Mus musculus: one gene and its partner. The protein of the gene in region 2 binds, or shares a complex with, the protein of the main gene of each other region. Links are inferred from orthologs where the notes say so. Each region holds a gene or a part of one and is shown on either strand. Other genes may lie near its edges. The genes, in order: Chp2 and Slc9a1.

Evidence for each region.
Region 1: the proteins of Slc9a1 (region 2) and Chp2 are in contact, whole or in part, in a crystal structure (PDB 2BEC), measured with the Homo sapiens proteins. The link is inferred for Mus musculus from reciprocal best matches to the Homo sapiens genes SLC9A1 and CHP2. Residues at the interface, in NP_003038.2 of Homo sapiens: Ser517, Ile518, Asn519, Glu520, Ile522, His523, Thr524, Gln525, Phe526, Leu527, Asp528, His529, Leu530, Leu531, Thr532, Gly533, Ile534, Glu535, Asp536, Ile537, Cys538, Gly539, His540; in NP_071380.1 of Homo sapiens: Arg30, Arg34, Leu38, Leu51, Ile54, Ala56, Leu57, Asn60, Pro61, Leu62, Ile66, Phe70, Phe83, Leu87, Phe90, Tyr118, Ala119, Leu122, Tyr123, Met136, Val139, Leu140, Met143, Ile156, Arg159, Thr160, Glu163, Ala164, Phe177, Ser180.

Annotation. Positions count from the first base shown.
Region 1 is NC_000073.6:122,214,672-122,223,948, reverse strand, and holds Chp2 (calcineurin B homologous protein 2), read right to left. Parts: upstream 4,454-9,277; 5' UTR 4,238-4,453; coding exon 4,171-4,237; intron 3,473-4,170; coding exon 3,400-3,472; intron 3,291-3,399; coding exon 3,210-3,290; intron 3,100-3,209; coding exon 2,969-3,099; intron 2,848-2,968; coding exon 2,786-2,847; intron 2,199-2,785; exon of another isoform or gene 2,118-2,198; coding exon 1,995-2,117; intron 1,828-1,994; coding exon 1,774-1,827; 3' UTR 1,410-1,773; downstream 1-1,409. UniProt on the Homo sapiens protein: Functions as an integral cofactor in cell pH regulation by controlling plasma membrane-type Na(+)/H(+) exchange activity.
Region 2 is NC_000070.6:133,365,247-133,374,349, reverse strand, and holds the start of Slc9a1 (sodium/hydrogen exchanger 1), read right to left. Parts: upstream 4,616-9,103; 5' UTR 3,807-4,615; coding exon 3,443-3,806; intron 1-3,442. UniProt on the Homo sapiens protein: Electroneutral Na(+) /H(+) antiporter that extrudes Na(+) in exchange for external protons driven by the inward sodium ion chemical gradient, protecting cells from acidification that occurs from metabolism.

The DNA of each region.
Region 1 (9,277 bases), on a different chromosome or scaffold from region 2:
AATAATGAAAGGCTCAAACTTTAAGCATTGTCTTAGATTTCTATTGCTGTGAACAGACACCATGACCAAGGCAACTCTTGTAAGAGACAATATTTAATTGAGGCTGGCTTACAAGTTCAGAGGTTCAGTCCATAATCATCAAGGCGGGAACATGACATCAACTAGGCAGGCGTGGTGCAGTAGAAGCTGAGAGTTCTACATTTTGTTCCAAAGGCAAACAGAAGACTGGCCTCCATGTGGCCAGGAGGAGGGGCTCAAAGCCTCCCCCCCACCCCCCACCCCCCACAGTGACATACTCCCTTTAACAAGGCCACACCTACTCCAACAAGGCCATACCTCCTAATAGTGCCACACACTGGGCCAAGCATATTCAAACCACCACAAGCATATTTTGTTGCTATTTTAACTTTTTAAAAGTTTTTACTTATATGTTTGTGGTCGCTTGCCTGTATTTACAACATACATGCAATATCTTTGAAGACCAGAAAAGGGCATCAGATTCCCTGAAACTTGAGTAACAAGTTGTTCTGAGCCATCCAATGTGGGTACTAGAAACTGACCTTGGGTCCTCTGAAAGAGCAGTGAGTGCTCTTAAAGGCTGATCCATCTCTCTAGCCCCAATTTTTACATTGTTATTTGAAAGATCTCTAAATAAAAGCAATAGTCTTTGAGTAGGAAAATTCCACAGCTTGATATATATATATATATATATATATATATATATATATATATATATATATACATATATATATCACATCACTATCTCTATATCTTGTGTCTGTGTATGTGCTTCTATTCTGCCTCAAAGTGACTTGTATACTCTTTTCTGCAGTCTGACAATGTTTGAACTTCTTACCATGAGCACAACGAATTATTCTGCAAACCTTGGAGTACCCATATACTTTAGGAAAATAAGTATGGTTTAAATTACTGTACCCCATCCTCCCACCAGCCACCAACCCCATCATATTATCTTTCATCAAGGGGATCAGAGAAAACCCATTCAAGAGGCCATATTTCAAGATTCCCTTAATTTGCTCAACCAAGTAGCAAAGAGATGCATCATTCACGTTGCCCGAACAAAACCAACATAAACACACACACACATACACACACATTTTTCTGATAACATTACTTCATTTTCCTTAAGGCAACCACCTCTCACTCTATGCTAAGACTTCAGGCATTATTTCAAGGTTTTGGAATTATTATATGACACAGGCATAGCTTTTTTGGATGTTCCATTCCCCTGGAGATAGAGAAAAGACCCAGCTGGGTCAATGATGCTGCTTGGTTGGCATTTCTGGAGTAAGACAACTCTTCCTCTGGGTTAGTGTGCTAAGCAGATGTTAATCTGGATAGCTGTCGGCCCTTTGTACCCCCAAAAAATGATCCCAATGCAAGGAGGCAGCCAAGCTGAGAACCCCAGGTGACAAAACTCAATTCTGGTGACACCATGCTTGTCCTTGGATCCAGCTGTCCCTAAAGGCAACTACTTCCAGGCTGTCTAGTCACAGGCGTGTGTCACTCTTCTCACGTTTTTTTTTTTTAATCAGGTCACTTTGGGTTGGCCTTTCAGCCACTTGCAACCAAATCACTGAGTGATTCACAAATCTGAGAGCAAATGAGACTTCAGCACACATTCTTCCAACTTCCTTTCCTAGCCCTAAGCAAAGTTTCAAAGTAGAATATGGCTTGTGGGATCCTGCCTCCAGGGGACCCAGGTAGGTAAATCCCAAGCCCACAGACGTCTACGTGAGTCAGACACAGGGGTCACTTCAGGATCCGGATGCTCATTTTTTGTTCGATGTTCATCTTCTCTAAGGACTGGGGAGAGATGGGCGAGGTCAAGACAAGAGGCTTGAATCTCAACCCCTCCCCTGGAGTCCTAGCATCTCCCAGAATGCACCTCTCCCCGGTCTCTCCCATCCTCCAGTTAATTGTATTTCCCTACCCTTCTGTCCCAGGCACTCCTGATCTCAACCCCTCCTAACCTTGGTGAACTCCAGGAAGGACACAGCCCCATCCCCGTCCTCATCAGCTTCCTGCACTGTACGGTCTGTGATGCTCTCCAGCTGCTCATCCGTCACCTGGACCCCAACCATGAGGCGGAGAACCTGGGAGGGGAGAGAAGAGGCAGTCAGAGAGAAGAGCCACAGAGGCTGCTCCTCCAGCCCCAGCCTTGCCCACCTCATCCCGTAAGTTATAACCAATTTTTTTCTCACGCACTTTTCACCATCAAACTCAATTTCCCCTACAGCCTGTAGTAAATGCCTGGCACTGTGTCACTGTCTAGTTGTATAGCCCAATCGACACCCATCCTCCACTCTACAACACCTTACTCTCCACCCTAACTTTATCATCTATCCCAGAGTCTTGGCACTAATGACATTTGGACCTAGATAAGTCCTTGATGTGGAAGGCTGTCCTAGGTGTTTGGGTGTGTATAGCAGTATTGCTGGCCCATTCCTGGTAAAAATCGATTGGGTGATCTCTTCCCGGTAATGACAACTAAGTATCTCAGATACTGGCAAGAGGCGGCATTACTCCCAAGTTGGGAATCTGAGCTCTATTCCCAGTCTCTTACCTATTTCCTCCCCACCCCTTGTCCTAACTAACCCAACCCCAGCCCATCTCAGGTCTTACCTAACACACAATCATTTGCAACCCCAGTCATCATACACACACACACACACACACACACACACACACACACACACACACACCTCCATTTAACCATCCTGCCCTGCCCACATCACATCTGATGCAGCCATGGTCTTCTGACCTGTAGCATTTCATTCCTGGAGATCTTCCCATCCCGATCCAGATCATAGAGCTGAAATGCAACTGGGAAAGGAGAGGGAAAAGGAAGTGAGGCTCCTGAGCTGACAATAAGTCCTCACCAGGCTCACGGGGGGGGGGGGGGGGGGGACGGGGGGGGGGGACGAGGGGGGGCGCACACACTCACAGCGCAGTTTGTTCATTCTGCTGTTTAGGGGTTCAGGTTGCTTGGGGTCTCGGAGTGTGGCATCTTCTTCATCTATAGGTCGAAAATAAGCCAGGACCCTGGCAAAGCCTGCGAAATACAGTCTCTGACTTCTAGAGGGACAGGGATGGAGAAGGTCAATGGTCACCCAAGCTGCCACCATCTGAAGCCTCACCTCCCACCCACGTCCATTTCCCCTCCGGTCAGCCAGTAGAGACTTCACCCGTTGGGGAAGAAGCTGTCTATAATGCGGTCACCCAGTGGATTCACAGCCAGTGCTCCGATCTGCTGGAGGTCTAGGCGGCTGTGAAGACAAAGCAAGGAAGGCAAAAAAGGAGGCAGATGGAGGTGTCAGTGAGGGGATGGGGCCAGAAAAAACAGAGGCAAAAGATCTTAAGATCTGTTCTGCTCACCTTAGGAAGCCCTTTTCATCCCTGTCCAGGGCTTGGAACCGGTGGTAGAGGCGGAGCAGGCTGGCTTGCGAGACTGCGGAGAGGAGGTGGGGATGAGTCCGCAGAGGACTCACAGGTCTTTATTGCCAGGCCCCTTGTGACTTGGGGTGCGCTGTAGAAACCCCGGCCAGGGGGCGTGGGCGAGGAACAAGAGGGCTTATTCTCATCTTTAACGCCCCCCCCCCCCAACATAAAAGGGTCTTCTATCTCTCCACCCTCAGCGCAGCTTCAACCACAAGGAAGAAGCTCACGGGCGAGGATAAAGGGAGAGAGTTACCCTTTGCAAGACCAGGTGTGTGGAGTCGACTCTGCTGGAGAAAGCTTGGCTCCAGAAAACACTAGGTTGGAGAACCCAGGAAGTTCCCAGAGCCCAGGATATAGCTCCCCCTGCATCTGTCCTCAGCTCAGCCTTCAGCCTCCAGCCGAGCTCAAAGACACCTGAGTGAATCTGGTCCATCAACCCGGACTGCCTCAAACTTGGCTCTCAGGTACCTTGCGAACCCGGACACTGGGTCTCGGTTTCCCAGCTCCAGAGGCGCAAATTCCCAGACTCAGATTCCAAACCCTCTAAGTCTCTGCGATCTGGAATACTCAAGCTACATTCTAGTGACACACACACACACACACACACACACACACACAAAACACTACACTACACTAAACCTCCTCCTGTGCCCGCCCACGAACTACTGGGCTGCGCTGACCACCACCACTACCAGCACCCATACTCACAGCCTGTCTCTCTGCGAATGTGCTCCACGTCTGGAATGAGCGCGATATGAGAGCTTCGTGAGCCCATGGCAGAGCCACAGGAGGAGACGAGCAGCCAGGGGAACCAGGAGTCCTCTGCTTCCTCTCTCCTCCCGTCCAAAAGGCGCGGCTGCCCAGTGGCCCCAGAGCCGAAGGTCACGGTCCTGGAGAGCAGCCAGAATCTAGGCGTTTTTCGCCTGCCACCTACAACTCTGGGAGAACAGAAAACAATGCCCGGAGTAGCAGGTCAGAGGGGAAGGCTGAAAACAACTGGTCGTTTCAGCCTGGAGATTGAGGTCGCCAGAGGCTGGGCAGCGATGCCAGGGCCCCGCCTTCCTCACGCCTGTGTGAGCCAGTTTTCTCCCAACACTCCCTAGACACAAACCCACCTCCTCCACAGGACCTCCCAGATCCGCTCAGCCAGTGCTGCTCACTCAGTTTAAATCCTACTGGGCAGGATGAAGATTTTCTTCTGGGGAGCAGAAGAGGGGGCAGGGGGCAGGGAGCAGGGACGGCTCCCTGGGCAGGAGGGATGGGGATGGGGAAGTCCGGGCTCCACTAAGTGGTACAGCATAGACGGGAATCCCAATTACGCTCTCCTTATTCTACATAAGGCCACGATGTTTTGTCTATGTGGGATTATCCTGTGGCTGAACTAATTCTTAAGATTCACGAAGCCTCCGGACACCAGCACTGAGGAGGTTGACGCAGGAAATTAGCCATGAGTGGGTGGCTACTCTGAGCTACATGTGTCCTAAGCCAACCTAGGCTTCCTTGTTTCTCAAAACAAACAAATGTGTTAAGATTTATCCAAAATCCAGACTCATGGATTCTCTGAGAAATCAGAAATTCTGGGGCTAACTTTGCGACTGAGTGGGATGGCATCACCTGCCATACAAGCCCAAGGCCCTGGGTTTGACACATTGCAGTGGGCTGGGGAAATTCCTAGACATTTTGATATCTCGAACAAGAGGCTATTTTCCACAGGGTTTGACACATTGCAGTGGGCTGGGGAAATTCCTAGACATTTTGATATCTTGAACGAGAGGCTATTTGCCACAGTGCCCAAACAACCCATGTTCACTCTCCCAATGTGACAACAGGTGTGTAACCTCTTAGGCTTCTCACCAGTTCCCAACACCAACAAGCTGAAGTCTGTGACCTGGCTTAAAATCCTAAACAGTCACCTCACAGTTGGCACATTCACACAGCATTCTATCAGAACATAAGCATCTGAAGAGGATGTGCTGAGACAGAAATGGAGAAGCACGGGCAGGTCATGAAGAACCGATGTCTATCTAGATCATATAGTCCATGTAACACCCAGAACCAGTATGCTAGAACTCAACTCGGAGAATTTGCAATTTTAGGGGCCCTATAAGAGCAAACTGAACACAACCTGAACTGTGGACAGGAATTTAGTGACATTCAATAAAGTATTTTTAGAAGAATCGAGGCCGAATTCCAGATTGATTCTCCTCGATGTTTGTTTTGAACAACAACATCCGTGGTAGGGTACCCTCAGGCGTAGGATGGGGCACTGTGCTGATACCTAGACAGCCCCCTGCTAACATTGTCCCACATGAACACAGGCAGGGGTGCCCTTTAACCCTTCTACCTTGGGTCCGTTTATTATCTATTAGGATGATATTAATAATGAAGCCTCCTCCTCCATTTCTGTGATTAGTGAAAGAAGAGTGTGAGGCAAGCTGGATGCAGGATGTCACACGCAGTGAGAGGCAAACAAATGCAAAAGGCAGCGTCTCATGCAACAGTACCAACAGAACAGCGCTACCAACAGAACAGCCGAACCAACAGAACAACGGTACCGACAGAACAACAGAGTCGGTTTTTTACTTCTTTGCACGCTTGACAGATTTCAACAGTAACAGTATTGCATACATTGAATGTTTCAAAGCATCTTACTTATTACTTGATCTCTAGTGTGAGAAACATAGATAATGACTAACTGGACCCTTGTTGCATCTATAAAATACTGCAGAGAACAAACAAATAATTCTACAGTATTTCTTTATCACAAATGATTGCCCCAGCACTTCTTTCTTCCGCTTCCTTTTTTGTCGTCTCGAATTTTCTAAAATAACAACTTGTTAGTCATCATATAGTACACTGTTCAAAATCAGCACAAGTTTCAATGGACATCAATTCTAATTAAGATTATATTTAAAAAAAAATACTAAAGACAGTAGCAAGGCCTGTCCCTGCACCTGGGGCTTTGCTATGTGCACTGTGAGTCCTTGCTAGACTTCACACTGTCGTGTATTGTGAACTGCTGAAAAGCACGCTGCCCTATTTCCTATAGCTATATGGGAACACCACAGTCATTAATAAAGGAAAAAAAGCTTAGGGCTGAAGAGATGACTCAGCAGTATAGAACACCTGCTCTTTCAGAGGACCCATGTTCAGTTCCCAGCACCCAAATGATAGTTCACAGCTGTTTGTAGCTTTAGGCATCGGGGACCCAATGCCTTCTTCTGGCCTTGGGGGATCCAGGCATGCTTGTGGTACACAGACATACATGCAGGCAAAACACCCACATGTAAAAACATTAAAAAGAATAAAGACTAAAATTTAGGTGGCATATGGTATCCCGTGCCTTTAATTCTAGCAGACAGAGGCAAAGACAGGTAGATCTCTGTGAGTTCAAAGCCAGCCTGTTTTATACTTCCAGTTCTAAGCCAACCATGCATACACAGTGAGAACCTGCCACAAAGATAGATCAATCAGCTAATGTGAAGCGGTGCATACCTGTAGTCCTGGCACATGAAAAGCTGAGGCAAGAGAACACTATCCAAAGTTAAGGGCTATCCTGTGCTACATAGTGAGTTCTGGCAGCCTGGGTAACAGTGAGTTCCTAACTTTAAAAATATAAAAGGAAGAAGGAAAAAAAAGATAAGACAAAATTGTCATTCATCTCTGGACTAGGAAGGTAAGGATCAGGTGGCTTTGTCTGAGTGTCTCTGCAGAGTCCCACATAGCTCAGGGCATCACATGACAAGTCCAACAGTGTATCCCTGCTTGGTGCTTCCGTGTTCTCATAAAGCCATTGACCCAACCTAGACCACTCAGGGAGCTGGAGCAGGGGGATCACAAGTTCAAGGCCTTCCTGTTCTACAAAATGGACTCAAGGCTAGACTGGGCAACTTAGAAACTGTTCCAACATTTAAAAGTAGGGAACTGGGGTGAGGAGGGGCAGCTCAGTGGGTAAGAGTTCTTGCTGTGTAAAAGTGAAGGCTGAGTTTGACCCTCTAAGATTCCTGAAGATGCTGAGCATGGCCATACATGTGTGCATGCACACACACATACACACATACACATGCACACATACACACATGCACATACGCACACAGACTTTATTTAATTTTCTTGTGTAAGGTGAAAGCTGTGTGGAAAATGTAGCTCTGGAATAGAAGAGAGCTTACCAACAAGCCTGTTGCCCTAGGTTCATTCCTCAATGCTGCTACAAACAGGTATTTAGTTTTGAAACTACCCTACATCATCCTATCTACAAGGGTTAATAACCATTTGGGAGAGAGAAACAGTCTATTAGTCTCCAGCCTGGGACAGAGACTCAACCCCAAAGAGACTTGAAAGTATTGATCTAAAGAATGCTTGCTTCACTTTCAGACTAAATAACTGGCAGGAAGGACACCAGATTCCTTTTCAGATGTCCCCAAGGACTAAAGAATGTGGGAAGCTATCCTCCTCCCCCACAAAACCCAGCCACACTCAAGGCCAGAGCTGGGAATTAGACTGAGCCCAGGAAGAAAGGAGCCCCTGATCCTATGCAGTAGTAACCTCTAGCAGGGTAAGAAAGGGGTTGCCAGCCTTGTCTCTGAGTCAACACTATGTTCAAATAAGTCATTCTAGTACAGTGACAAGCCCATATGCACATCCATCCCCAGGGGGACCCTGTGCCAGGAGGTCTTCATGCATGCAAGTGGAGTTTATACCAACTCCACACTGCATGCCTACATCTGTCCAGTTGTTTAGGGAATATTTCTGAAGAACCTATTATATGTGCTTCTGTGTGTGTGTGTGTGTGTGTGTGTGTGTGTGTTACTGGGGATGGAAACTAGAGCCTTGTTCATGAGTAAATGGTCTATGTCCTACCACTGAGCTACGTCCTCAGCTGAAGGTTTTTTTTTTTTTCTTTTACTTTGAAGTTTGCTAACTTTGGCAGGCAAGATGGCTTAACAGTTAAAGGCCCTGTCTGTCAAGCCTGAAGACCTGTGTTTGGACACCAGGAGGCACATGGTAGTAGACAAAAACCAACTCCTGGAATTATTTCTCTGAATTCTGCATGTATACAGTGCCTTTACACACACACTCATACAATTTTAATTTTTTGTTTAAGATTTATTTATTTTATGTGCATTAGTATTTTGCCTGTGTGAGGGTGCCAGATACCCTGGAACTGGACAGACAATTGTGAGCTGCCATGTGAGTGCTGGGAATTGAACCCAGGTTCTCTAGAAGAACAGCTAATGCTCTTAACCACTGAGCCATCTCTTCAGCCCTCAATTTTAATTTATTTTTTAAGTTGCTAGCTGTCTTAGTTAGGGTTTCATTGCTGTGAAGAAATGCCATGATCAAGATAACGTTTATAAAGGACAACATCTAATTGAGGCTGGCTTAATTTTTCAGAGGTTCAATCCATTATCATCATGGTAGGAAGCATGGCAACACTAGAAGGAACTGAGTGCTCTCAGTCTTAATCAAAAGGCAGCCAGGAGAGTGTCTTCTGCAGACAGCCAGGAGGAAGGTTTCATTCCACAGTGAGCAGAGCTTGAGCATAGGAGCCCTCAAAGCCTGGCTACACAGTGACACACTTCATCTAACAAGGCCACACCTCCTCCAAAACAGTGCCCTTTCCCATGGGCCAAGCGTATTCAAACCACCACACCAGCCACGCTTGATGAAGTTCCAGTTGAAAAACAAATGCTTGGGCTGGTGAGATGGCTCAGTGGTTAATACTGACTGCTCTTCCAGAGGTCCAGAGTTCAATTCCCAACAACCACATGGTTGCTCAAAACCATCTGTAATGGGATCTGATGCCCTCTTCTGG
Region 2 (9,103 bases):
GCTGCCAGTGGTGAGCTGGTTACAGGCGCTCTCCCTGAGTGAGAACATGCACTGCCTGAGAGTCAGGTGAACTGGGACAAAGCAGAATTCATGCGAGAGCCAAACCACAGTACAGGAAGGAGGCAGAGAATGGCCCAACCCCAAAGGGTTCAGGACAACTCTCAATTATTCATTTATTCATACATTTATTTATTATTTACTTATTTGAGACAGGGCCTCGTGTATCTCAGGCTGGCCTCAAACTCACTCTGTAACTGAGGGTGGCCAGCCTTGAGCTTCTGATCTTCCTGCCTCTACCTCCCAAGTCCTAAGCTTACTGACATCAACCGTCCTTTTTTTATGTGGTATATGGAATCAAACCCAGGGCCTCATGCATGGTGGGCAAGCACTCTACCAACTAAGCTACATGCCCAGCTCTGGTTCTCTCAATAATTTAAGTCCCTCTTAAACTACTAATTCTCCTCCCACCAAGAAGAGGAAAGAATCCTCGACTAAAAGAGAGAAACAGTGTCTGGAGAAGGGAGGTGATTTGCCTGAGGTCACCTCCCCAGTCCAGAGGCATCAATTACTCTAGAGCATTAACTCTTGCTTTGTCTCTCCCATGTCAATCTCCACAAGATCCTCCTTTGGATTTTGGCACACAACTAGGATGGGAAAGAAGACTGCACACTGCACTCTCTGTTCTTAGCTGAGGAGTACCGTGCGTGGCAAGGAGCTGCCACAGCAGAAGGGATGGGGGCTCCACCAAACCCCTACCCTCTCTGGGACAATGAGAAAACAGCCAAGACCCTGAAATAAAGTCTCTAGCTCTTGGACAGCAGACAGTGCAGAGTTCACTGCCCCAGCCCTCCAGCCTGTTATCAAGGCACCACCCCGAATCTTCCGACAACCACCAAAAGGAGGCAGCTCAAGAGAAAAGATAGGATAGGCCACACAGAGAAACCCTGACACACACAGACAGACAGACAGACAGAATAAGTCAGATAAACAGATCTGAAACCTTAAGGAAAGACAGACGGTGGACCAGGGCTAAGGAATAGTGAATAGCGTAGCGCTCCAATCTCAGAGAATATAGGAGGTAGGATTCTGCCGTAGGTGGCGGCTCCTCACCCTGCTCTCTCATGTGCAGCAAGCCAACTTTATGCACTGTATGCATCACACTGCTAGCACTCACACACTTTTGAACCTTGTACTTTGCGAATGTCCTCTACCTCTGAACTACACACCAGCCTGCACTTCTCATTTTCTGATAAAGAGGCTCAGAGAATGTGAACCGGTGGGTGGGTGGTGCATTCTACACAGCGACCTCACATCTAACCTTAACTCAAAGGCGCAGGTGGAGAGTGGAGTTTCATGGCTGCCATCTGCACAGCGCTTTGAGGTCCTTCGTCCCCATTCCCTCTACTCTTTAGCCCCAGAACGGCCAGGTGCCAAGGCCCCCATTTTCAGAAGCAGAAAAAACGCCTTTCCAAGCCAGACACACAGGCCTTTGGGATTGCATGGGGGATCAGATTCAGCCTCCCCATTTTACAGAAGGAAAACTGAGGTCCGAGTTTCAAAAGCTTAACCGGGGTTTCCAGAATCGGAGCAACAACAGAAATGTCAGACCTGGAAAGGATCCTGAAGATCAGCAGGCTAAGGAGACATGATTGGTCAAGGTCATGGGGGGAGGGGGGGAGGAGAACTCAGTTTCCTGACTGATATCCTTGCCGGCACCGTCTATGGTATCCAGTGGCCCAGGGTCTGTTGACAAAGCAGGTCAGGGCCAGCCAGCACACATTAGGACAAGAGCTATCAGGTCTGCAGGAACAAAGTTGGGACTTCCCAGAGTGGGGTCTTTCTGGTCATGCTAGTGTACTGACTAACAGCAGACACAGGTCTGCAGTGTGTGTGCCAGCTCCCAGGACTGGGACACCACGGGGCTGAGGGAGGTGTTAATTTACAGGCAGCACTTATGAAGTCTCTCCAGTCTCTCCCTCGCCTCCTACAGACAAATGACATATTATGGTCACTTCAGGGTCTTACAACAAATACAGACACACGGTGTCATGAGTCAATCGATATAGTCAAATAGCAATTCCGATGCTTATTTCACAAGAAAGACCTTCAGGAAGACACTCAGCTGTTCAAGGTCATGCATTTAGGTTTGAATCTGTATCCACGGTTCCCCTTGCTCAGACCTTGATTTTTTTTTCCCCCCCAGGAAGCTGGCTGCCATCAGGGTGTAGGTGCTGATGGCCCAGCTCCATGCCCTAACTCGGCCACTGTAACCACCTCAGCACCAAAGCCCCATACCAGGAAGCCAGCTCCTGGATCTATCAAAACAGAGGTACTGGTTAGTTCCTGCAGCATGCCACAGGGCCAGCCTCACACCAGTTTGGTGTCCTTGGGAAAAGAAGCTGCGAGACTTCCTGCCCAGAGTCTCTAACTCCTCAAAACCCAAATCTCAAGCAAAGAGGGAAGCAGAGAGAGACCCGGTGGCTCCCACTTTCAGTTCGCTGAAAGTGGGCTGGAAAACTTAAGGTAGCTTGAAAAGCCCCCTAGATACCATCTCCAGGAACTTCTGGGCTATGCAGCCTCGGGAGAACCCCACCAATCACCCAGCAGAACAGGGTGCTCAGGCTGGGCAGGAACCCCAACCCTTGGAGAAGGAACAGCATTTTCATGTCATTCTTCCAAAAAGAATATTTTAAAATCTCTTTAGACCCAGCTCTTCTCTATCTCTTTGCCTTCAATGGGTGGTCCCCGTCTCTAGTCAGTTGGGTACAAACCTGAACCAAACCTCAACCTCCTCTACTTTCTTGCCATCCCCAAATGGCTGGCTGTAGCCATTCCTATGAACTGGATAACGGTTGGCATTTCTGGACTGGGACCTGACTCAGGGGCTTCTGACTGGCCTTGGCAGGCAAAGCTGAGAGGTATCACTCTGGGGATGAAGGTAAATAAGTCTCTGGGGATCCCTGTGTTCTACCACACACCTAAGTGCCTTGTACCTAGTTCCTTACTCTACGCAAAATCCTTAGACAGGCCAAGTCCTAAAACACCCTTTCACAAAGAATGTAATAAATCCGTACTGATTCCTGTTGACAGGACAGAAAGGGCCACTTGCTAAAGGATATTCCTGTCTTACACATAGCTAAGCACCTGCCTCCTCTCTAGGTCCCATCCCAGCTGTAGGAGACCAGCCAAGCCTTGGCAGCTTTTCTGAAACCAATATCAGAAGCATCCCATCTCGTGCACGCTCCTGACCCTCCCTCCTGCTACATAATGCCAGCTCACAGGCCAGAGCTGGAGTTTAAGGACCAACAAAAAGGAGGGAGAGGCTGCCCGCCCGCGTTGCAGAAGTGGTTCATTCAGAGCCTGAGAAGCAGAACCTGGTAACAAGTGGGGCAAGAAGCTCACCTATCTGGTGGTGGCAGCAACAGCACCATCATGCACTTACCTATCTTCATGAGGCAGGCCAGGAGAATCCAGAGGGAGATCTCAAAGGGTGTGCGCACGTGAGGGTAGTCAATGTCCAGGACTGGGAAGGCCTTCCGAGATGGCTTACCGCCATGTTCAATGATTAAGTTGGTCAAATTGTGGTCATCTGGGCGATGGAGAGGCTCTGATGGTGCCGTGGTGACATCCCCAATTGAGCGTTCCCGGGGTGGTTCAGAACCTCTGATGGTGCTGGCAGTAGGGCTGTGCTGGAGGCCGTGGCTCCTGAGAACAGGTAGCAGTCCCACCAAGGCAACCACCACCAGCAAGGAGGGGAAGATCCGAGGTGGATGAAATCCCCAGACGCCGGACCACCGAAGCATCATACTGATCCCCCAGCCTAGGAGGCCTCAGCCCTTAGCGAAGTGCGTGTAAGACCTGGGACATAGGTAGCAAGGAGTCCTGCAGATGGGGTGAGACTGGGGCAATCTCTAGGAAAAGTTCATGTTTTAGAGAAGTATTTTCGTTTTCTAGAGATTCACAATCTCAAAGTCCAAACTGCAAAAAGGGGTTAAGTACCTTGGAGGGACTAAGGAGGAAACCGAAAGGATCTAGAACTTCAGGCTGAGAGAAGGAAATCGGGGAAACTGCGTCCTGAAGAGAGGGGAAGGGCCGGATAGGCTGGACCACGGGCAAGGGAAAGGAGGAAGAAGGATAGGACCTTTGGCTAAGGAAAATCACCAGGGTGCTGGAACTCGGCTAAAGGGGAGGGGTAAGGAGCCTGGGCTAAAGACGGAAAAGGGTGAGACCCACTCCGCAGGGAAAGGCGAGAGAAGGCTGGAAGGCCAGCCTGGGATAAAGGAGTATAGCAGGAAAAAGGCTGGGGCTTTCCCACCCACAGGAGAGCCAGGGTCCAGCCGCGCCGGGCTGAGATTCCGGGGAAATGGAGGGAGGCGGAAGACAGAGGCAGACGGCCTGGCGGGAAGGTGCCTCGGCGCAGGCTGGAGGCGGCTCGCAGTGAGCCAGCAGCAACACACCCCTCCTTAAGACCCCGGTGCAGAGCTGTGTTCCACCCCGGCCCAGCGGCAGCTCCTTCGGTCAGCTCCAGCTCCACTTCCAGACCTGACACAGCCCCGGGTCCCGCGGTAGCGGACTGATGCCTCGCTGAGCACAGCGCAGCCATTTATAGGCACCAACGAGTAGCAGGCGCAGCAAGCTAGAGAGACCTGTCAGCGCCCGCGCGGTGCAGCGGCCCCTGTCGCCCAGGGAAGGAAGTGTCACGTAAGAAGAGGAAGCCGAGACCTAAATTGGAAAAAAAAAAAAAAAAAAAAAAGTACAATCTAACACGAGTGACATACTGTACTATCTACAAAGTGTTTTCTTGTTAGCATGTGACTTTGAACAAGTTATTTAGCCTCTCTGTTTCACAGCTTTCTCAACTGTAAGGTGGAGATGGATAGCTATAACAAAAGGATAACAAGATGGTTAAATGAGGTGATCTATGAGAAATGTTTAGAATGAAAGGGATGGGATCGTGGTTCAGAGGTAGAGTGCTTGTCTACCATTGGTTCCTATGCCCAGTGTCACAAAATAAAGTTAAATGAATGAATGAAATGGGCTAGAAATCTGCACTCTGTATGTTCCCAAGCATTGACCTGTGCTGAGGACCGTGTGAGCTGAAATCCGTTCCTGCATCCCAGCCACAGGTGCTTTGATGGCAATGTATTGGCTTCCCTTGACTGTGGCGGCATAACCCCAGCCTCCCTGTATCCGTCTTTAGGTCCAAATTTCCCCCTTTAAAAGGACTCCAAGCAAATTGAATTAGGAATTGGCCCTAATGGCGTACCTTACCTTGATCAACTTCAAAAACCCAATCTGAGCCACGAACGGTGGGAAACTGTAATTCCAGCATTTGGGAAACTAAAGAAAGAGGAATTTTTAACTCAACGTCAGCTTGTGTAACAAAGTGAGTTCTAGACCAGGCTGAGGTCAGTAGGGAGACCCTGTCTCAAAGAGATTTAAAACAACAACAACAACAACAAAACCCCTCATCTAAATAAAGCCACATTCTCGGGCACTGAGGGGTGGGCAGGGGTAGGACTTCAGCTTCTTTTGAAAGGGCGTGTTTCAACTCATAACAGTAGTGAAACAACCAAAAAGTAAGAGGCTGGGTATTGTTTTTGTCTGTCTGTCTATCTGTCTGTCTGTCTGTCTGGTTTAAAGAGAAAAGAAGGATTTTTATTATCTGCAGACAGAAAACAGCTTCCAGAAGGGGCATGTTCTGTTTTGTGCGAAAGGCTACATTCTTACAATGTAGCCCAGCTGGCTTCTAATTTTTGGCAATCCTCCTGCCTCTCCCTCTCAAGTGGGATTACTGGTATGCACCACCACACACAGCCGGAACTGGAATTTGAATGAATGATATTGATTAGAGTTCAGAAAGGTCGAGACATTGTGTCTACATGGTGCAATCATGAGAACTCTTCCCCCCCCCCTCAGAAGTAGGATCTGAACACAGAACCCTGTGCGTGCTAGGTAAGCACACCACCGCTGAGCCCAGACTGAGAAGTTTTTAAATCATTTCAAATGCCATCCTGTTTCATGGAAAGGTTAATTAAAGCCGAGAAATCCAAGGTGATTTGTTCAAGGGGCTGTTAGAGGGGTTTGTTTTCGTTTGACAAATCTCTTCAGAACTTTCTTGACAAGGATTTCTGCTGAGCTAGGGACATAGGCATGAGGCGTGGAGTGGGACTGTGAATGGTGATTAGGGTCAGCTCCAGAGCTCAAGGTGAGCTTCCCAGCTCTGGGAGTGTCCTGTTCCTTCACTGGGTGGTCCATACCCAGTTACTCAGAGGCAGTTATGTTGTGGGAGTTCACCATGCCTTCAGAGTTTGTGTACTTTCCATCTGGAAAAAGGTGTTTTCAAGTAACAAGAGTGTGATATGACAACCAAGTGTAAAACATTTCTGACTTTTCTGAACCTTGCCACGTTTTTCCAGGAATAGATTCAGACACTGGGAGGTGACCGGAAAAAAAAAAAAAGAAAAAGAAAGAAAGAAAGAAAGAAAGAAAGAAAGAAAGAAAGAAAGAAAGAAAGAAAGAAAGAAAGAAAGAAGAAAAGAAAAGAAAAGAAAGAAAGAAAGAAAGAAAGAAAGAAAGAAAGAAAGAAAGAAAGAGAAGATTCAGAAACAGACCTGGAAAGATGCTTTAGTGGCTAAGGACCATCATTCAAATAAATCCCCAGCTCTCAGAGTTAAAAGAAAAGAACAAGAAAGCCAAGTATGCCCACATACCTTTAACCCTCGTACCTTGGAGAATGGAGACAAAAAAGATTGCTAGGGCTTGCTGCCCACCAGCCTGGCTCCAGGTTCAGTGAGAGACTCCATCTTGAGAGACTAAGGAAAGGTCACAGGAAACATGATTCCTAGTTTGGCGTCTGCCTGTACAAGGCTGATGCACTTGCACACAACACAACACACTATGCATATACCATACCCATACACACATGAGGGGTGTGTTATGGGATTCGGAGACTATCATGGAGCAGCTGTCCTAGCATGAGCAACACCCCGGGTTCGATCCCCAACACTTTAAGACAATACTGAGAACAGATGAAAGACAAACAGTAGCTCCAATGGAGGTGAGAAAAGGGAATGACTTCTAGGTCACAGATCAGAACAAGCCAGGCTTGCCATCTGGCATTGAGATGAGACTTCTCAGGAGACTGAGTCAAGAGGATGGAAAGTTCAAACCCTGCAAGGTCTACAGAGTGAGCTCAAAGCTAGCATGATCAACTTTGGAGAGCTTGCCTCAAAATAAAATGATATAAAAGATAATGCAGGACTGGGCTCAGAGGTTAAGAGCACTGACTGCTCTTCCAGAGGTCCTGAGTTCAATTCCCAGCAACCACATGGATGGCTCACAACCATCTGTAATGGGATCTGATGCCCTCTTCTGGTGAGTCTAAAGACAGCGACAGTGTACTCATATACATAAAATAAATACATAAATCTATAATATTAATAATAATGATAATAAAATAAGGTGGTGGGAACATAGCTCAGCACTGGAGTGCTTGCCTAGCATATAAAATGCACTGTGTTCCGTTCTCAATAACTAAAACCCCAGAGGATCAGAATCAACAATGCCTTGTGGAGTCACTGAGAACTGAAAACCAACTGCTATGCCGTATAACAGAGAATCAGGATGCAGTAGTGATTATTCCCATTCTCACTTGACAGATAAAGCACCAAGGTTTGGATTCTTGAAGCTGTTTGCCTAAGATCACATAGCTGTGGGGAAGCAGTGCTAACATTTAAAGCCAGGCTTTAATCTACACTGCAGACTCAGTACGGATTACTAAAGGGAGAGGAAGGGCAGGGCTAGTGTAGGCACTTTACTCCCAAGCCTTGAGGCCACTGGCAGTCACTGGTGTTCCCCACCCCCACCCCACCCCCTCCAGCCCTCAGTAAGTCTTTGGTGCCAGCTCCAGAGAGAACAGATCGGAGAAGAACCAGGAAATACCACCCCTGGTGGAGGTCCTACAGGACATGGAGAAGGTTATAAAAACTTAACAGTATCAGGAAATAATCCTAGCTTGTAGCTAGGGCACAGTCCCAGGAGGCTTCAGGGCTGCCTAACACAGATGGCCACTGTCTAGACCCTGTCCCAGCACCACCACAGGCGTGAGACCTGGAGTAATCAGTCTCTGTTCCAAGTTCTTCCACCATAAAGCAACAGGGCCAACCTTGTGGTGCTGTAGTCAGAATATTAGGGAATGTACATAAATAAAGCTTTAGAGCAGCGCCCAGCAGGCACCACCTGAATTTGTCATTGTCAACCTTTCTTGCGGGTATCTTGAAGTCTTAAACTTAGACTTTCATGTCTGTTTGGGTTTGTTTTGATACCGTGTCATAATCACTTGTAAATTTATACTCCTGCCTTCCTCTATCTCTCTTCTTTTAAAGATTTATTTATTTTATGTATATGACTACACTGTGGCTGTCTTCAGACACACCAGAAGAGGGCATCAGATCCCATTACAGATGGTTGTGAGCCACCATGTGGTTGTTGGGAATTGAACTCAGGACCTCTGGAAGAGAAACCAGTGTTCTTAACCAACTGAGCCATCTCTTCAGGCCTCCTGCCTTCCTCTCAAATACTGGCTTTCAAACTAAATAACTGAAATGACCTTGAAATTGCAATTTCACACACACACACACACACACAGAGAGAGAGAGAGAGAGAGAGAGAGAGAGAGAGAGAGAGAGAGACACGAATGCTAGGCTCACATGTATGCACCACTGTGTTTGACTTTGATTTTTTTTTTTTTTTTTTTGAGCTAGGACTTCTCTAAGGTAGCCCAAGTTAATATCAAACTTATGGTCCTCCTGCCTCAACCTTCTGAGTGTTCATATTACAGGTGAAGCCTTGATTCAAGGACCCTTTGAATTGGCCCACAAAGTCACAGAGATGATGGATAGGCTAGAAAGAAGAGCCCTGCACAGATTGGTTCCATCACTGCAGCCTCGTGCTTTGAATCTAATACTTCTAAATAAGCTTTATCTTGTTAAAGACCATCCATTTAGCTGGGTGATGGCGGCTCATACCTTTAATCCCAGCACTTGGGAGACAGAGACAGGTAGGTCTCTGAGTTCTGAGTTCAAGGCTAGCCTGGTCTAGG